4 linked regions of the Drosophila melanogaster genome follow. The protein of the gene in region 4 interacts with the protein of the main gene of each other region in a pairwise test. Each region holds a gene or a part of one and is shown on either strand. Other genes may lie near its edges.

The links.
Region 1: the proteins of CG5089 (region 4) and CG8907 interact in a two-hybrid assay, tested with the Drosophila melanogaster proteins (one large-scale study listed by BioGRID).
Region 2: the proteins of CG5089 (region 4) and CG15370 interact in a two-hybrid assay, tested with the Drosophila melanogaster proteins (one large-scale study listed by BioGRID).
Region 3: the proteins of CG5089 (region 4) and fs(2)ltoPP43 interact in a two-hybrid assay, tested with the Drosophila melanogaster proteins (one large-scale study listed by BioGRID).

Annotation. Positions count from the first base shown.
Region 1 is NT_033777.3:17,007,250-17,013,053, reverse strand, and holds CG8907 (uncharacterized protein), read right to left. Parts: upstream 4,225-5,804; 5' UTR 4,185-4,224; coding exon 4,126-4,184; intron 3,645-4,125; coding exon 3,251-3,644; intron 3,194-3,250; coding exon 3,149-3,193; intron 3,088-3,148; coding exon 2,197-3,087; intron 1,595-2,196; coding exon 1,222-1,594; intron 1,147-1,221; coding exon 806-1,146; intron 738-805; coding exon 642-737; 3' UTR 521-641; downstream 1-520.
Region 2 is NC_004354.4:9,223,431-9,227,224, reverse strand, and holds CG15370 (uncharacterized protein), read right to left. Parts: upstream 1,789-3,794; 5' UTR 1,770-1,788; coding exon 657-1,769; 3' UTR 537-656; downstream 1-536.
Region 3 is NT_033779.5:19,792,222-19,797,408, reverse strand, and holds fs(2)ltoPP43 (female sterile (2) ltoPP43), read left to right. Parts: upstream 1-1,557; 5' UTR 1,558-1,662; coding exon 1,663-1,869; intron 1,870-2,365; coding exon 2,366-2,826; coding exon of another isoform or gene 2,827-2,884; exon of another isoform or gene 2,885-3,100; coding exon of another isoform or gene 3,101-3,143; exon of another isoform or gene 3,144-3,923; intron 3,924-4,006; coding exon 4,007-4,185; intron 4,186-4,250; coding exon 4,251-4,507; 3' UTR 4,508-4,636; downstream 4,637-5,187. Other genes in the region: CG10466 (uncharacterized protein), read right to left, coding at 4,660-4,899, 4,958-5,182.
Region 4 is NT_033778.4:16,596,741-16,600,937, forward strand, and holds CG5089 (uncharacterized protein), read left to right. Parts: upstream 1-2,007; 5' UTR 2,008-2,227; coding exon 2,228-3,538; 3' UTR 3,539-3,671; downstream 3,672-4,197. Other genes in the region: CG8303 (uncharacterized protein), read right to left, coding at 1-200, 1,164-1,457.

The sequences.
Region 1 (5,804 bases), on a different chromosome or scaffold from region 4:
AATGTGTTCACAAAAAAGGTAAATAACACGCCACGCCCCTACCGGTTTGAAACGCCCACTTACTTGACTTTTAGGATGCACTCACGAAGCAGAATTTATGAAGATTATCACTTATTACTCTTAATCGACGTCTATTACTTCTTCATAACATTGAACATCGTGTTTATTGAAAAAACCAATTCATTTCGGCTATTTCGTAAGTCTTTTGATTGAAGTCTGCAATTCGAACTGGAGTTCGACATATAAGGTATCTGGGTTAACCAATAAGCGTTTCATTAGGACTGTTCCATAACCAGTTCTCAAAGTTTCCTGTAATGATAAACATATTCTTGCCTAATTAATCATGCCATACCACTTTTGAGTTTAGGGAAGTTAAGTTTCTAAACAGGAAATCATATGATTTCTTCACTTCATAAATATTTGTGTTTAAATAAAGTATCTATATTACATTTATAATCAATTCGAGATGTTAACACTAAATGCATATAAATCAAACCCATTTTTGTCTTTTTTTTTTTTTAATATACGTATGAACACTGTTTAACATAAATGAAGGATTATTACACATAAATAAATTAATGGCATCTGAAGCATTTTTGTCTCTCTGGTCTCCGGCTAAAAAACTCGGGATACTGGGAGTCTTAGAAGACCTCGTTGGGATTGCCATTGGACTGATCGGCCTTTTGGCGAGCACGTGCCAGTTTGGCAGAAAGCTCCGATGATCGAATGGTTTTGTACTGCAAAATTGGATATTGGAATGGATTCGATTAGATTAGATAAGGTGAGGATATGTCCAAGAACTCACCTCGCAGAAATTCTTTTGCAGCACGATCTGGGAAATGAGGCGGCGACTCTCCCGCCGGCCAAAGTAACTTTCGATGGTGTGCGGTGATAGGGCGAAGATCTCCTCGCCGGATAGCGTGTGCAATCGTTTGATAATGATGTCCGAGAATCCCTTGCCCCGCAGCCACTCCTCCACCTCGCTTGGCTTTGAATTCTGGGTGATGAAGATTTCCGGCGTCTTAAGGATCTCGAGGTCCTTGCGCCTCTCTCGCTGCTGCTGCAGTAGACGCAGTTCATCATGCACGTCGCCCTGCATGTAGTAGAGCTGATCATCTGCCTCGCAATCATTGCGGGCCCGCATGGCTGGTAAGCGAATGAGATAAATACAAATATCATTATTATATTGTATTATTTTTTTTAATTTACTAGTGTACCCACCTGCTAGTGCTCCTGCCGCCGCCATGTTGCGTTTGAGTGTGCCACTGGGCGTGGGCGTTTGGCTATCGCTCGGTGGAGGCATCGGTGGTGGAACGGGCACGTTGGGCATCGAGAAGGTGCGCTGCATGGCCTTGCCATTGGCCGCCGGCTGCTCCACGGGAGCGGTATACATGGCCATTGTGTTGCGGTACAGCGGAGGAGGAATGGCCTCCTCGCCGCCGTTCTCCGTCAAAGCCATTGAGGCCAGCGACTCCGTGTCCCGGCCATTTACTCCGGGCTCAAAGTTGTACGGCGTGAGCACTGTGTGCGGCACGTAGCCAATGTTTCCGTACGAGTTACGGGCCTTCCACCAGTTGCGGGAGTCATCGATAATCTTGGAATCAGACGATTTATATGATAGTTATTATAAGGTCTGTTATCATGGTGATATGAAGGTAAGATCGCGTAATTGGGGAATCGATAAGATTGGTACCATGTATAGTAAACATGGTATAAAGTTAAAAATATAATCAATGTTTAGTAATTGCATTCAAAGTTTTTGTATTGATATAGTGTTACTGACCTCTCATTGGTAAGACATCTCAAATGCCTGAATTTAAAATTATTGAATCATATATATTACCGGCAATGAATTTTCATATCTTCACAACCAATACTTATCTAAAGCTTTTTTATATCAGTAACATTCCAAAACAAAAGATTAATATAAAAGTAAAAGACCTGTGCCTTATAAGATTTCAAATCATTCAGTTCTCACACGTGGACATTCCTATATATTTACAAAACTGTATTGTAACCCAAAATAATTGCCTCTTACATACATTCATACGTCAGCGAACGATTAAAAAAGCAAGTCGTTTTAAATGTTGTGCAAATCTTAATTAAAGGAACTTGAAATTGGGATAAATTTGGCTAAAAGATCTGAATGATAAGAACTGACATTAAAACCCCTTTCGATTATTATTAGGTACTTACCTCCAAATACTCTCCCTTTGTAACCTTTAGTTCCTTATCGTTGGTGGCCGACTTATTGAAGGTAACCTCGGCGATCTTGACATTTCGGCTCTCCAATCTACTCAGCCAGGTGCGATTTCCTAGACCTGGACTCGGGGGCATGGGAACCGGCACTGGCGAAGGCGTTGTGCTCTTTTTTAGAGCAGGAGCCAGGTACGGCACCTCCTCATCGACCACCCAATCGGGAGACCAATCGTCGTAGAAGATCGGATGATAAGAGCTCTTGTGATCCTTGAACTGATCCTTGGGAACCGTCCAGTTGGGACCGAGGCTCTGCCACAGCTGCATCTCGTTGGAGTCGAGGGTGCCATTGAGGAAGGCAATGGTCTCACGGCGCAGGAGGGGATTAAGTACCGCCTGCGGCAGACCCGCATCCACGTAGATATCGTTGCAAACCGTGACGATGGATTTAAGCGATATGAAGACATTGTGCACCGGATCGGCGGGCTTGGTGAATTGGTTCTGCAGCCGAACGGAGTATATAAGGGCCAGTTTCGCCTTGGCCAAAATGTCATGGAACTCGCTCTCGATTGGTGGTCGCGATCTCAGGACCAAAAGTCCCTCACCGTGGGGATTATGCTGTTCCTTGCGCAACTTTAGCTCGTTAAGCGCCTCGGCGGCATAATGAAGACGGGCCATGAACCGCTCGATGTCCTCGAAGCAGTGGTTTATCACCTGGACATCCCTCTCGGTCTGCTCCTTGTCTATGGCATTCTTCTCGGCTGCTATTCCGGCCACAGCAGCTGCTATTCCATACTGATCCTTGGCCTGCTGGTTCTGCGGCCTCTCCGGCTTGGGCAGCAGGATGGGCGTCTTGTTGCGATCCACTGTCACAGGGGTTCCCTTGCTTAGCTGAGAAATCGTGGTATTGGGATTATATAGATCGGGGATCTATTTATTCAACTCAACTCACCGTCTTTAGATCCTCAACCAAGAGCACGGAACTGACATCGGCCACCTATTAATGATCTAATTATTACAGATCTCAAAGTGCTGAAAAATCGTGGCTGCTCACCTGGAAGATGTGCATTTCGGTATTGCCCAGTGAGATTCCGGGCACTGAGAAAATGAGGATATTGTTGAATGACTCCTGCGGATGATCGCTTATAAAAGCCGTGGGCTCCGTGATCAGGCTCCCCGGAAAGTTCTCAATCTCCTTCATATCACTGTCCAGCATCACCAGCCACTGCCCATTGAAGCTCATGAACATCTTGTGCGGCCAAATGCCCCCGGTCTTTTCCAATTCGACCAGAAGCTTCATCTTCTCCTTCGGCTGCTTGACCTCAGCCTCGTTCTTCAGCTTAAAGGTGGCCAAGTGCTCCAGGGCATAGGTGGGCTTGACCTCGTCGTAGTGCCCATTTGCCTGATTCCCGCCAGGGACTCCATTTTCGTAGCCGTTTTGTGGCATCCTGAGAAATAGGGAAATGGGCATTCCAAATAACTATAGTTTTTTTTTTTTTTATCACTTATTGGTTGTTTCCATGTAAAGTTTGGCATTCAGGCGCACATATTGTAGAATATGAACTGCGCAATTCTTTGCCCTTCTTTTTGTTTTGTTGATAACACTACATTGCAACTAATGCATGACATAGAGGTAATTGACGATGAGTAATAGTTGCTCTTACACTTTTTAATACAAGGAAAATAGGTTAAACTTTAATAGTTCAATAGTAAAGAATTTTCTATCTTGTTCTGCATCTTTTACACTATAAATGCAGATCAAGGACGAAAAGATCTCTTTGTTTGAATGTTATGCTAACATAAACAGTAAAACACCGAAAATTTCCAAAGTGGCACTTTAAGTATACGGGTATATGATAGACAGGTGTTGGCAATGCTTCAATCTATGAGATAGCCTCCTGTCTATCACGCTTGATATTTGATATTTACCCATACTTGACCGAAATGGGTCGGAAGTATTTCAGGGTCCTATTGCCTGCTTTGACCATTGCGGCGGTGTGTAATCAAAGCGTTCTGGTAAACTATTGATTCCCAATGGGCAATGCGAATCAGATAGATGGCTACCATTAGATACCTTTGCATTTAGAAGTACATAGGTGTACATATGTACATAGGAGAGTACCTATTTCACCTGTGTGGTAGCTACCTGTCCGATTAGATAAACGCAATTGGCACTGTGTTTGCGATTGCTTTGCTTTTTCAGTTTGCTGGCGTTACTTTATTTCTGTTTTGCAGTTATCACAAGCCAGGAAATTCTTCGCTCATGAAGCAATCGTTAATGGCAGCTTATTACATAAGGACTCGAATATAAGAGTTAATCGCGTATTTTTAGGCCGTGATTGTGGGTCAATTATTTACCGCCGTGTTTCGAGATTTATTTATTGCTTTCACTGGCATGACATCAGATCCTAAGATACAGATGTCTGAGACATATCGTTGGTATGTTGATTTACGGGCTTAGAAGAACCGATGGATTGGTTACCTTGTGTGCTGCCCACTGTGCTCTTTATTTATTTATTTGCTCTTTTTTCTCGACCCGATCTACAACTCTCGACCCGCTGTGAATCGAATTCCAACTCCAACTAACTGACGTTGGCTGGCCCAAAGGGAATGGGAATCGGCGATATCAGCTGGCTCATTAATTGATTGCCTGAAATTGCGATGGTGCGTTATCGCAAAAGCAAAAGTGTGCCTTATCTCTTGGTGCTCATAGGCACTTTTTCAATCTTATCTGGAAGCAGAGCAACAAATACAAATACGAATACCATTCCTTATGAGAGAGTCTGCTACCCTTGGGCCTTGATTTTGATATCGGCCCACTGTGGGATCGTATGAAATGGTCAGCAGTTGACCCTGTTACCAACAACAAATCTTACTTTCAATTAAAGATAGTAATTACTAGGAATTTCTTTAAGTTCCATTAACACATTACTTAAATAGCTTATTATTGATTGGCGAAAAAGTGAAAGTGTTCTTGAATAAAACTTAAGTATAAGTTTTATATCGCAAAAATGCATCTCTATGGTTGTTTTAATCTTTACAGAAATCATTAAAAACGTCTTGATGACTATTTTTCAAAAAACGGAAATGAAAATTACTTATGTCATGACGTGCGCGCATAATTTCGATCAATTAAATCTACATACAACTTACTTTATATCTTATTCTACTCGTATTATCATATCATGTATTTTGTATGTTGCCTATGAATCATTCCTAACTTAAGAAAGTCCTTCATCATAAATAAAGAGCTTTAAAACAATCATGCTTAGGGTCTGGGGTAACTATTTTATTCGTTTATTGGCCAATAACTTTTATTGGAGCAAATTGTGACATTCTTGCCTTTTAATGACTACTACTTCACGTAATAACAGAAAAAAGCGACCCTCATTACAGTTGAAAATGGGAATTGTTGAAAATGGAAATACACGTACCGCACTGTCCGCAACACTTTCTGCAACAACTTTGAGTATAGTAATATTGCGTGACTTTAACGATCCGCTTCTGAATTGAGAGTTATCAAAAGTGTCAACCAGACACAATTGATCTGTAAATTCATGTCTATGTCATGTAATTCTACCTGTAATTCGATGTTCCCTTAGACAAAA
Region 2 (3,794 bases), on a different chromosome or scaffold from region 4:
TGGGCCAACAAACAACTGAGAAATCCATTAGCCTAACTGACTTCCTCAAAAACACTGAGAACAGTAGTCCATGTATGAATGTACCAAACACGATTTCCGTATTTGAAATAATAATAAATAATCAGAATGTAAATATATTATACGTTTTATAGATAGAATCAAGACTTAGGATAATTGCACTAAGTAGTATACTTAAATTCCCATTGCCAAGTGAACCGGTTGGTATCCAAAGTTGAAGTCAATAACAAAAATGAGTGCATTTTACTCTTGCACCATTAGAATATTAGATTTTAGTGTTTAAATAAACTAATTTGAGAATTCAAGATCATAATATGCATACTAATTAGACAGTCTCTTTTTTTTATTACTTCAACTATTCAAATTTGCGTTTTTATTACATTATAATTTTCAAGTGGTCTTGGTGCTTTCCAACTGCTAGGATTGAGTTGAAACAAATAAATAAATAAACAAATAAGTTAACCTTTTGTTTATTACTTCTAACAACTTGATTCCTAGAAATTGAATAACATTTCTTTAAGTGTTTACAAACATTTATTTATTTATCGCTTAAATCTGAAAACTGACTATCGACTTACGAAGCTAGGAAAAAAAAAGTGCAATAAATAGATCTTAGATTAGACGGGGTGTTGGAACGCCTACAGATAGGGCCCACCACTGTACTGGTGATAGCTACTGGATCCATAGCCCTGAACATGACCCACGTTGTAGCTATCGACGCCACTGTATGTTTCGGACGCGGCACTGTTGAATCCCTTGGACTCGGGCCAATCCACCAGGGATTGCGATGGCCGGCGACGCCTTGTGGCCGTAAGCGGTGGTCCATAGGTGTCCGCCGGTTCCTCCTCGCCGTACGGGTCACTGGATGGCACCTGGACGGATGGCCGGAAGTCAGTGCTACTTCCGGCCGAGGGTCGCGAGTAATCGTATCCGAAGGAGGATTCCTGCGGAGCTTCGAGAGTGTACGCTGGCGCTCTGGTTTGCTTGGAGCTCCGCTGGGCCTGACCGTGGCTGGGCGGGATGTAGGCGTGACTGTGTGGCGAATACTTATAGCCCGTATCCGGCTCCTGGTCGATGTGCTCCTCCACTGGTGCGGGTTCCGCATAGGCGCCAGTCTGATGATGATGATGATGATGATGATTTCCCCCGCTCGGATAGTGATATCCATAATCGTCGTCCACCTCCTCCTCCTCAACCGGATGGTGAGTATGAGTGTGATGATGGTGCTGCTGCTTGGGTCGCGATTCAATCACTCGATAAGTCTCCACACTGGGCTCATGGTGATCCTCGTAGTCGTAGCCATGTGGTCTGTGCTGCTCCTCAATGATCGTATAAGTGTTGACCTTCTTCTTGGGCGGCGGCGGCGGCGGAGGAGCTGCCTTTTTGGCATACGTCTCCGTGAGGTGGTCGGCCAGCTCCTTGGCGTGATTCAGATAGTCCGCATGCTCGCTCATGTGCAGCGGCTTGTCCAGATCCGAGAGGATTACGCTCTCCAGCAGTGGACTGGGCTTGGGACGGGCTCGTCCCCGATTGCGGTATAACTGATGCGGATGCGGATGGTGGTGGTAGTGGTGGATCACCTTGTGTGGCGACTCCTCCGCCGCTGACTCCTCTTTGGGCACATGCACCTTGATGTGGACATACTCGTTGCCGAAGCCCGCGACCAACGGTATTAACAGCACCAAGATCACAGGCACCAGCAGGTGGGAACGGCCGCTAATCCATGCCATGTCGTCGCGTCGAGTGGTCATCACCTTATGGTCGCCGCCTTGCCAAAATTGGTTTAAACCGAAGTCTTTCTTTTGTCAAAATTTATATACAACAGCCAATGCTGGCGACGACAAGCATCTTGACCTACGGAGCCCTCGGGTGAAATGGATGACACCTTGCCCTGCGCCGACCTTCAAATGCCCTTTGTGCGTGTATACCTTTCTTTTAGCAAATTAATAATGGATTTCTTTTTGCCATTATTACCTTATTCATTATGTTACTAATATTTTTATTCTCCGATTAATTTGTTAATCTTTAAAGAACTTGCATACAAGCTATCTGCATGAGTTCTTGTAAATTGATAAAATTAATATAAAGTTTCCATTCTGTTACGCAGCGTGGAATCTCCCACTCTGCATCATGCGTTTCTTTCTAAAAAAAATTAATAAATATCTTCGAATTTTTATCAGTTTCTGACGTCTCTGCACTGGACCCTAGTACTGATATCCTAAAGAAAAGAGTGATCATAATATTCCATATTTTTATATAATTATTAACAATAATGCCTTATATAATAAGGATATCATAATGTATGATATAAAAAGGATTATTAATTCGCGAATGTATGAGTAATACTTTGTAGTTCTAGGTTTTTCGATGGAGCGCTGCCAACGGTGTCATAAAACCGAGATGCTCCAAAACGCAGGTGAGTGTAGGGTGTTTGGGGGCAACTGTAAAATGTCATTTTCTTGCAATCACCGTTCGACGGAATCTCACTATCCCGCTCTATCCACACTAGCCCCCCTCCTCGCCCTTTCTCCATCGCACCGAAACTAGCGGTTGTTTTATTTGTTTTAACTTTTGTTTTCATTATTATTGAAATGCGATGCATACATTTTTCTAGCCGCCAGCCAGACGACAACAACGAACGAAAGTTAATACAAATTGAATAATGAAAGCGACCTGATCTGTTCGCAGCTATCGAAATTATCGGGGAAATTACCGTGTTCATTCATACCTAATCGATATTCTCACTTATATAATATCGGCGCATATCGCCAATACTAATTTTCAGTTTCGCGCTACGAAATTAATAAAAAACATTTAATTGTGATGCTAATAGGGGGAAAAAAAATAAACTGAGAAAGTTGCTCTGCGACATCATTATCACGATCATCATTTTCAGTATCATTATCATCGCGATTGTAGGCCACTTGGAAATCTCTCTTTCTCTCTCAGATGGCAAACAAAATACAACGAAAAACAATACAATTAATATGCAAGTGGCATCTGGATTGATTGCTTAAATATTTATTTATTCGCATTTAATTTGCGAAGTCTGAAAATTTAGAACTGAAAACCAAACCCAATCTATAATTCGCTAATGAATATTATGTATGTTCGCGGTTCTCACGCTTTTCATTTGGCGTGAAAATTAAGCAGAAAATCGGGGAATGCAAAATCCAACCCAGTTAAAAAGGCAATAAATGGAAAGAAAAGAAAACGGCGAAACAATCGAAAACGTGTTTATATGGTCGGCAAACAAAAGCGAAAATATTCATGGTCAGTTTGTTGGTCGAAAGAGGGGGTAGCATCGGGGTATGCCGGATATTTCCAGCACTCATATTACGTATACGCAAAGAAAAGGGGTAACACAATGAGGCAAAAAGCGTTCCATTAAGCCGCAAAGCCTATTAGACGACGGACTAATTGACTTACCAGCCGAAAGCATTCTAATATCTAGATTTTTTTGGGACGCAGTCAACAACTTCTAATAAGTAGGCTGAATAATCTATGGTTTTTGGAATCTGAAAGTTCTAAGCGGCCCTTAACCCCAGCCGGTTTTGGGCGATGATTTTTTATGTTACACTATAAAATGAAGTTAAAACAAAATTTACATTTGTTCCTAAACTTCCGAAATAACCGTTTGGGGTCAGTGAACTTGATTCTAAAATAATTTAGTATATATGTACAATATATATTCCCAGCTGATCTCTGGACTTGCTAAAAAGCAAAGTATGAAGTCATAGTTATAACTGCAAAATTGCATCAGCCCCTCTAATGAA
Region 3 (5,187 bases), on a different chromosome or scaffold from region 4:
TATTTTTATAGGCACTAAGACTTCCGCATCGGATGAACAAAGCGCGAAGAGTCCACACGGCCAGGTGCTCTGCGGAATTAAATAAATATTTGCCACGAACGGGCAACCTTTCTAGCGTTATTTGGGAAATTGTGGAAAAATCACGAGCCACATAACTCCTGCAACGCTTTCGCCATGAAACATTTTATTAATTAAGTCCGTGTCCTTGATTTTTATTTGCCGTTTGGTATACCCACTTTGTGTCAACACAAACCTCTGTCATCATCAGGATGCTCTTTAAATGTCGCAAATTCTAACAATGCAAGTTGACCGTGTCCTTCAAAGGATTTCAATTGCAGACCAGATTTTCAAAGACTTAAGACAGCTAAATTGTAACTCAACTTCACCTCCTGTCAGCCAATTCCTTTTTACCAATCCCTTGTTAATAATTATGTTAGCTAACATCAACATTCTAAACTAAAAACCAAACCAATATGACCGATTGACTGCTTATTTTTCCGTTCCCAATTTGTTCACTACATTTCCAATTTGCCAAAATCAACAGGGTTAAATCCAATCCGGCGGTAGCAGCCACAAACAACCCACCTTTGCGAAGAAATTTCGACTCCTGCTGCTAATCCTTTCGTGCGTGCGCGTGTGAGTAAACCATTTAGCGCCAATTAAAACATAATTGCGGCATTCGCGGATTGCGATCGGGCACTAAATCATTCTCGGGCCTATACGAGTTTCATTTTGGCAGGACGAGAATAGCGGCACACACACACACATACACACACACACACGTCCATCGAGGCACCGCAACAAATGGCAAAAAGCGCGGGCGGAAAAGCGAAAACACTTGGGCGCCATTCACGGTTTAATGGCATCAATTCAATCCGAGGCTGAGCTCACTTTAATCTTGTGGCACTGCTGGCGTTGATTAAAAACACAAGGAAGCCGAAGTCGCCGCTTCTGGCCAACATTTCACTTTTATGAACGTAATTCCGACGGCTGATTTAGGCCGGAAGTCTGGAGCACGGAAACCACCCGCTATGTCAACCACACTTCGCCGGCTAAGAGCACTAACTGCCATTCCTGCGAGCTTCAACTTCTTTTGGGGACTTCATCCCCGGAGTGTCGGCTTTCGATCAGCTGATTGGGGGTAGAAGCACCGGAAGTGCCGGAAACGGGGATGAAAAGTATTCGAAATTGGCGGGCATTCAAAACTGTCGAACATAGTTACTTCCTGTATAAATACAAAATACTCAATAAATTCAAAATACTCAATAAATGCAAAATACTCAATGCAAAACAGTTACAGTTTACATTATATAGAAATATAGAAAAAAAAATGATTGATAGTGCCAACTACCTACTACTGCCACTGCCAAACCTGCCAATCTTTTCTTGTCGTATATTATTTTGAATGATTATCAACAGATTAAATCACAATTAATAATTCACAATTAAATCGTGAAATTTAGTTTACTGGCTCTACGATTTAAGGATTCGTCACGATAGTTTCGCAGTCTCAACCAATTCCATCTCTAAAATTTGTATTGATGAAATTCCAGAGTTGCAGATATATTTTGGCATGCCCCGAACGGTCACACTGCGCGTCGCACACTTTTAATTGTTTCGCTTCGCCTTTCGTTGTTTGTCGTATTCTCCGAATTAATCAAAATGCCAGCGGTTGTGCGAATCAAGCGACGCATCGACGAGGAGCCTCAGACGGCATTTGTGCTAAACGGCAAGCGGCGGCGCCTCCACAACGATGAGAACGCCCTGGAGGACGCGGGAGCGGTGGCGGGAGCGGTGGCGGGAGCGGTGGCATCAGACAAAGACGAACTGACCACCGTGCTCAAGTTTGCCGGCACGCTGGAAAAGCAGGTGGGATTGGGGGCTTAGAGAAGCAAACGTAGATATAATTCACATGCCCTTGGTGGCCACTACTTTCTATATATTGCTGTGGCTCGAATGCACGCTGTTGGTTCTTTTAGTGCTGCTTATAAAAAGGTCAACGTCCTCATCTTTGAGATGCAAAACGATATGGGCTAGCAAACTCTGCAAAAATGCACTCATTGAACTGATTTGTTTTTTCTTTAATGATTCTTACAAATAGCTAATCTAAGGTAACACATATATGTGTGCAATTTTAATAATACTTATCAGTTAGTAGTGATCTTTAACCTTAGTTAAAGGTGCTGGCCTGTTATCTGTAAAGTGAATGCACATTTATCATAGCAAATTCCCATTTTACAGCCGCAATAAATAGTGGGAACTTAATAAAAGATAGCTCTAGTTTGGTTATTGGTAATTTTGACTAATGATCCAAAGATCTAATGAATCTAAAATTGATTTATTAATTTGTATGCCTCTTTCGCAGGACGACTGTGCCACTCGTAAATTCGCCGCTGCCAGGCTCAACAAGGCCGCAGCCCGTGATCTGGTGCAACAGCAGCGCTCCAATGATGCAGCCATTGCTAGTGCGCTGCGCAGAGATCGCCAGCGGCAGGAGGCTCAGGAGAACTCAAGGGAGCAGCGTTTCCGGGTCGTAAACTGCCTGCGCAGCACGCTCGAAAACAGTGCCGCAGAAGCGGAATGCCCGGAGAGCCAGAGTCATGAGTCCAGCAGCCACATAACCATCGTGGACATTGAATCGCAACAGCAACAGCACATGGGCACTGCAAGTGCAGCAGCTGAGGAGCAGCAGCAGCAGGAGATAGCACCCAGCCAGGATCAGCAGCAGCCGGCCGATTCGGACGTGGGCTATGTCTACGATCTATATGTTCCCGAGAACGAGATGCAGGCGGCATATGTGGACATGATGGACGACAACTACTTAAGGTTTGTCATTCAAGTTGAGCCACAGAAAACGTTGAGCATTACCAATTACTATATGTAATCGATCACCACTACACTTATGTACTATATGGAATATATATATCTAAGCGGTGTGTCTGTGTGTCGGTGCTATGGGCGTATCTGTGTGGGTGTGGGTGTGCGTGTGTCTGTGTTCGTTGTCCTCGGGCGCAGTCTCATACTTGCATATTATCCTTATCATCTAGACACGATTGCAATCACTACAGCTCAATAATACGATTCGTTCGTTCTCCATAAGGTTGTATTATCCGTTTAATTACTACAACAACTGCTACTGGTAAACAAGAAATAAACTAAATGGAGAGAGACAGACAAAGTCGCAGGCACTTAGGAAGTGTGAGGACAGGAGACACCCAATGCCCCACCCACGACAATAAAAAAAAGGACTGCAACTGGCAACTCACATCACTTACAGTTCATTGCAGTCAGCACATTTGACAAATGCCCAAAACTAACGATAAAACATTGTTTTTATGAGTAAACACGGCATGATCTGAAAACGAATGATTCTGGAAGCTATTTATTTGATTTGTTACTGTGAGATTTCGTTCAATTCTAACACAACTATGTTATGCCATATTCCATTTAAAAAATATGTTAGATCTAAACTTCTTAGTTTAAATAATGTATCATAGTTATGTAAAGTTCCCATAAAGTTCCCTCTTGCCAAAGTTTTTAATAAAAATAAGATGTATCCTGCTAAAAACGCACAATTAGTGTACTATTTGGAATCGTTTTAGGCAAATGTCTCTCATTACCTTATGTTCATAGAATTAATTAGCTATTAGATTAGAATAATTTACCCCCACACACGAACACACACACACCGCATTTTTTTGAAAAACAGCTCACCGAGCATTTTTCGTTTAGTTTCCGCCAGTTGTCAGTTGCCTTTTTGGTTCTTTTTCCATTCCGACAATAAACAAAAAAAAACGGATAACACTAGTGCTGAAGTCTAATTAAGTGCATAGTCTTAGTTTGTTTTGCTTTATATCTGTTGGGGCCTAGCGTTGCCCGAAATCGAATATAAACTAAATAAAGAAACTCTCAAAATACGTGACAAACTTTGTTGTGTTTCAATTTAAAAATGCTGCGTGATCAAAGAATCGAAATAAACTCACTAATTGTTTCGCCTATTCTGCAGTGTGATTCCTGTGGGCGAGATTGTCCTAGAAGATTGCTACAACGACCAGGACGAGGACTACGACTCGGAGGACTCGAACCAGGAGAACTACTTTACCAATGATTACCCGGACGACGACGAAGCGGGCGCCATGGGTTCGGATGATGAGTTGTGCCGGCAAATGAACAAGTTTATGCTCGGTAAGATCTGTGTTAACTGTTTGCATAGATTCCGCTTATGAATATGCATATGCTTCTTCTTCCAGATGATGACGAGGATGAGTTTGCCAGCACCAGCGATGATGATGACTATGCCACCTTTCGCGATCCCTACGTGCACACGATCGACACTGAGGAAGACTCGTTTGTGGACGACGTGGACTTTTACAATGTCGACCGGGAGAGGGGCAGCGCCTATGAGCGCTACAAGCGAAGGATTCTGAAGGAACTGGAGGGTCAGGAAGAAGAGGATGAGGATGATGATGATGATGACGACTCCTTTGCGAGCGCTGATGGCGAATGAGAGGTTGGAAAGCCAATTCATTCTTGCACCTTAAATTACTGGCTTTAAAAAAGAATGTAGTAGTATAATTTAGCGTTTAATAACTAAAAAATTTAAGTTAATATAAAAATTCTGTTTGCATGCTTTGCTATGTTTAAGCTAACCTTATCTTATCATCTATAATTTTTGCTGTCTTTCTTCTCAGTCTTGATGTGCTGAAGTTGAGGTTTCGGCGCACAGCCCTCCATGTAAAGGCGAAGGGTTTCCTCGTCCATCTTCTCGTTTTCCTTGGGAGGCTTGTAGTCGGCCACGTGATCGACCCTTAGTGTCCTATCGAGGATCTTGATGCCATTCAGGTTGTCCACGGCCAGCACTGTGGATCTCTGGTCCTCGTAGCACAGGAAGCAGAAGCCCTGGACAAGTTTAAACAATGATTTCAGGAACTTTCTTGAAAGGGTAACTAAGCATTACCTTGGACTTTCCCGTTTTTGAATCTCGAATTAGATTGATGTTGACCACTTCGCCGTACTGCGAGAATACGCAAACCAAGTCGCCCTCAGTTAGGGTATACGGAAATCCTGCGACGAAAATCCAGGCTGAGTCCTTGTACATGTCGTGCCAGCTCTTCTTTCCGCCATGTTGCAGTTCGTGTTCGCTCAGTTTGAGCACATTTTTCATATTTGTTAGCGGATTCATCTTCA
Region 4 (4,197 bases):
ATCGTTCCCGTGAGATTGGTGCGAATGGCGGTGCGCAGCGGGGAGCTGAACTTGATGGTGGCTGCACTGTGGTAGATCACATTGACCCGATCGATCAGCTCCTGCAGGAGCTCGGGGCCAAAGCCAAAGTTTGGTTCGCTCAGTTCGCCAACCACTGGGACCACCTTGGACAGAGTCTTCTCCGAGTATTTCTCGAAAATCTGTAATTAAATCATAATTTATATTTGCAATATTAAACAAACATTTTATTGAATATAATCTCATGCATCTTAAACTTTTGATAACTCTAACTAAAAGGATATGGTCATTAATTGGTAGCATTAAAAGCTTCGAGCTATAAGTGATTTTATGACTTGCAGAAGCGGCGAATAAGAGTTTTATATATTGTACATATGTATTCGATATTTTTAAACCAGTTGGAGACCTATTTTTTCTCCTCTAAAGACGGATGTTGAAAATTAATTTCACTACTGTTCGGAGGTTGGCTTGCTAACCATACACGCCCACATTATGGCCAACAAATTATGATTGTTAGCGATGAGTGCTTTTTTCGGTACTTTTACCTTTTTGGGCAACACTCGTAAGTAAGCAATTTTCAAAGCAAACAACATATGATGTTAGCTTCTTTTTGTTGTGCCATTAAAAATGCGTTTAAAAATAAAATAAATTAACGAGTTGTGAAGAGGGCCTAACAAAAGTTGGGGAAAAAACAAAAGACTTTTTGTTGGACCGAAAATTTAAGCACTCTCTAAATATAATTTATATGATTTCAAGGCATTATTTGTACAAACTTATTTTGATTGTAAAAAATGCTTTATGAAAAGATTGCTTGAGCTTAACAATTAAATAAGATAATAATTAGGTTATTTCAAAATTTGTAATTATAGTAAATAACAATTTAAATATTTTCAAAAATCCCAAAAGAGTATTGCACACTTGTGGTTAAAAAAAAAAATGAAAAGAAAAGAAAATGAAAGCCCCATGGAACGCGGCGGAAGAGGTCGGCCAGGTTACGACTTTGACAAATTAACGCTCCATAAAGAGACTCGTAATTGGCTTTAATTATATACCTTGCAGACGGCGCGTCGTGTCAGAGGGCGTGGCCGGTTGCCGCCCCCCTTCGACCGGTCAAAACAATCTAAAACAAATGCCACCAGACTTACCGGCTTTTGGAGCAGGCGACGAATCCGCTCGTTCGGATCAAACTTGCGCTTGCCCCGGACCAAAACGTAGATGGTTCCAATGTCGGGATGTGTGTCCAGCAGAGCCTCGATAAGAACGGTGCCCAGGAATCCAGTGCCGCCGGTGACAAAGATGTTCTTGTGGGCAAAGAACTCCGGTATGGTCAGCGAGGTGCTCAACTGATGGCCATTGACCCGGTGTTTTCCGTTTCCGATGCTATTGTTGTTTTCCGGGGGAGAGGAGGTGGTGCCGCCATGTTCCGTGATGACAGCCATGGTGTAGGGCTCAAGATTCGTCGGCGGCGCCAATTTGCTGCTGAGATTCGAAGACGGTGCGGCAAGCTGTGGCAAAGAAATAAGAAAAGGAAACGCGCCGTGACATCGGTTAGTTCAAGTTCATTAGTCCAACTGGATCGCTGCGATTATGAAACCAAAGCCGGCGATCGAAGAGCGAATCGAAAAAAAAAACCAGACAAACTTCTCAGTGTGTCAAGTTTAGCCAGCGGCGGAAGTGCATCATAAATCTGCTATCAAAATTCGATGGAAGTGGAGTGCGCGATGCGGAAGGCAGACAACCTCCAACGAAGATAAATGCTGCATATTTAAGCTTTCCACACTTTCCCATTTGGGTGTGAAACCTAATGGATAGTTACTTCAAAGGTTAACCGCTTATGTGGTCAGGAAACCTTTTAATGAATACATATTTTGTGCATTTTCAAAGATTGTTTCTAGTATTGGATTAACGTAATGTTAAACGCCAAGTAGGTCATGAGTACCACCTCTATTTTTTGAGTTCAACTGGGATAGCATTGCCTTTTACTTCCTGGGAAAAAATCATCAGCGTTCTCATAATATTCCCAGTTTGCGAAGCGTTCAGTTCACAAAATTTCGGTCTTTAATTTTTGGAGTTAAAAATTTGTAGCTAACAAAATTGAAAATTCAAAAATTCAGTTCGGAGTTTTATTTTCAGACAACACCCTCTCGTGCACGCATCAAAATTTTTAGTTCTGAAAAGGGAGTTCAATCCAAGACGAGTCAATAGCAAGATGAATACCACTTTTAAAATGGCTCGAACGAGCCTGAATCATTCTTGGCGGTTTGTTAGTAACAAAGCCAAGGGGCAATTTTCCAGTTTGCGACGATTACCAGCAGTTACCAGCCAAAATCGTCGCTACGCAGACCGATATACCTTCGACGACCAGACTCAAGCACAAATCCAGGGCATCAAGAAGATGAAAGAGATGTCCGCGGTGCCCCGGGAGTCTCCTTGGCGTGACAGCGAATGGTCTCCCGATTTTCCCGAGCGTTTGGATGAGTTGGGCTACGAGTCCCACTGCAACGATCGCCTCTATATAGCCAAGAACAAAATCCGTCACGAGCAACAAAAATATGAATTGGAACGTGAAGAGCGTCGCAAGCAGGCCCAACGAAGAATCAATAGTCACTTCGCTAAAGGTCAGGCAGAACCGGACTTATTGCGCCGGCGTACCATCTCACAGGATCCGGCCGATCACCAAAGGCGTCAGGAGGCGATTATCGAACAGAATCGCCGTCGATGGCAAAATCGTCCGGAATCTAGGAGGGAAACTAATACCTCCGGCATTACCTATCGTCCGGTTAAGCGAAAGGAAACGTATATTGAGGAGGATATGCAAAGGGAATCGGAGGACTACCAGCGCCAAAGACGCAATACAGAGAGCTCAGAGGAAGCTCAAGACAGCCAGACAGTGGTTTACGATTCCAATCGTCCCACTGCCGATTGGTTGAGGAAGCGCCAGGAGGAGAGCGAGGCGGAGCACTGGCATTCGTGGCACACATGCCCATGCTCCCGGGAGTCGGAGACCACAGAGGAGGTGAAGCCACATTTGAAGCGCAAGAAGGTGGTTGGCATTCCGCCTGCATATCCAAGGGATTACCAACGACGCGGCTACCATCAGATATCCCCACCTGTGTATGCACTGAAAGCCAAGACTATAGTGATGATACCAAAGCGGCGACCATCTGGCATCGATAAGCAGTACCACAAGTTTGCCATGAAACAGGTGGCTCTATGGCAACAGGACTTCGACGCGATCCAGGACAACGGGCAACCACTTCAGATGCCAGGGCTGGTGCCCAAGAAGGAGGAAGAGAAGAAGCCCAAGAGGAAGGAGGAGCGTCGATCCGTGGAACCGCCCCGTTTCCGAATGGTCGTCAAGAGCCGTGCTCCCGCTAGCCGTCCCTCTACTCCCGTATTCAATTACTCCGGCCAGATGGATATGCCGCCCGCCATCGCCGGACCCAGTGCCTACATGGGATCTCATCGCAAATCTAATGGCGAATCCTGGCGCAACTTCTTAAGGGCCAGCAGCTCATAAATGGAGCTCATTTTACTATAGCGTTGTGAATTGCCTTTTTATCCAGAGTTAATATTTGAAAATGAATACTTGCTGAGCTCCTGGCAGAGTTCTGGGATATTATAGTAAAATTTAATATAATTGACGTTGAACGAATTCTATTAACGAATCAGTGAATCATAGTTGGGGGTTGTAGTAAGAAAATTCCACTCGGGAATCTACAAAAAACCGACATATTTCAACAGTCAGCAAACCAATCGATGTAGTAAGTGTTATGGACAAAATGTAGCAAATGAGCAACGTGCTTTTTATAAGTCAAGTAATTAATTCCGACTAGTAATGGCAATTAAAGTTGACGCGTGTAACTGCTGCTTTTGACGTGATAAAGTAGGGGTTCCCATATTTATGGAATAGTTTAGATAACTTCTATTACTCGTAATAGAATGTACCTTTACTTATCCCAGCACTACATTCCAACACTAAACTGAAACGTTGACTAGCACTGGGAACAAAACCAACTACAAAATTCGAGAGCTAATTAACCCTTTCAACTTTCCCACACTTAAGGCCCATTAACCTTTTACTTTAATCACCAAGTGGATTAGAGTGGCTAAGCTTACGTTAATTAATACCCCCAAACTTTCAACTTGTCACACTGCCACAATCGGACCCATGGCCGT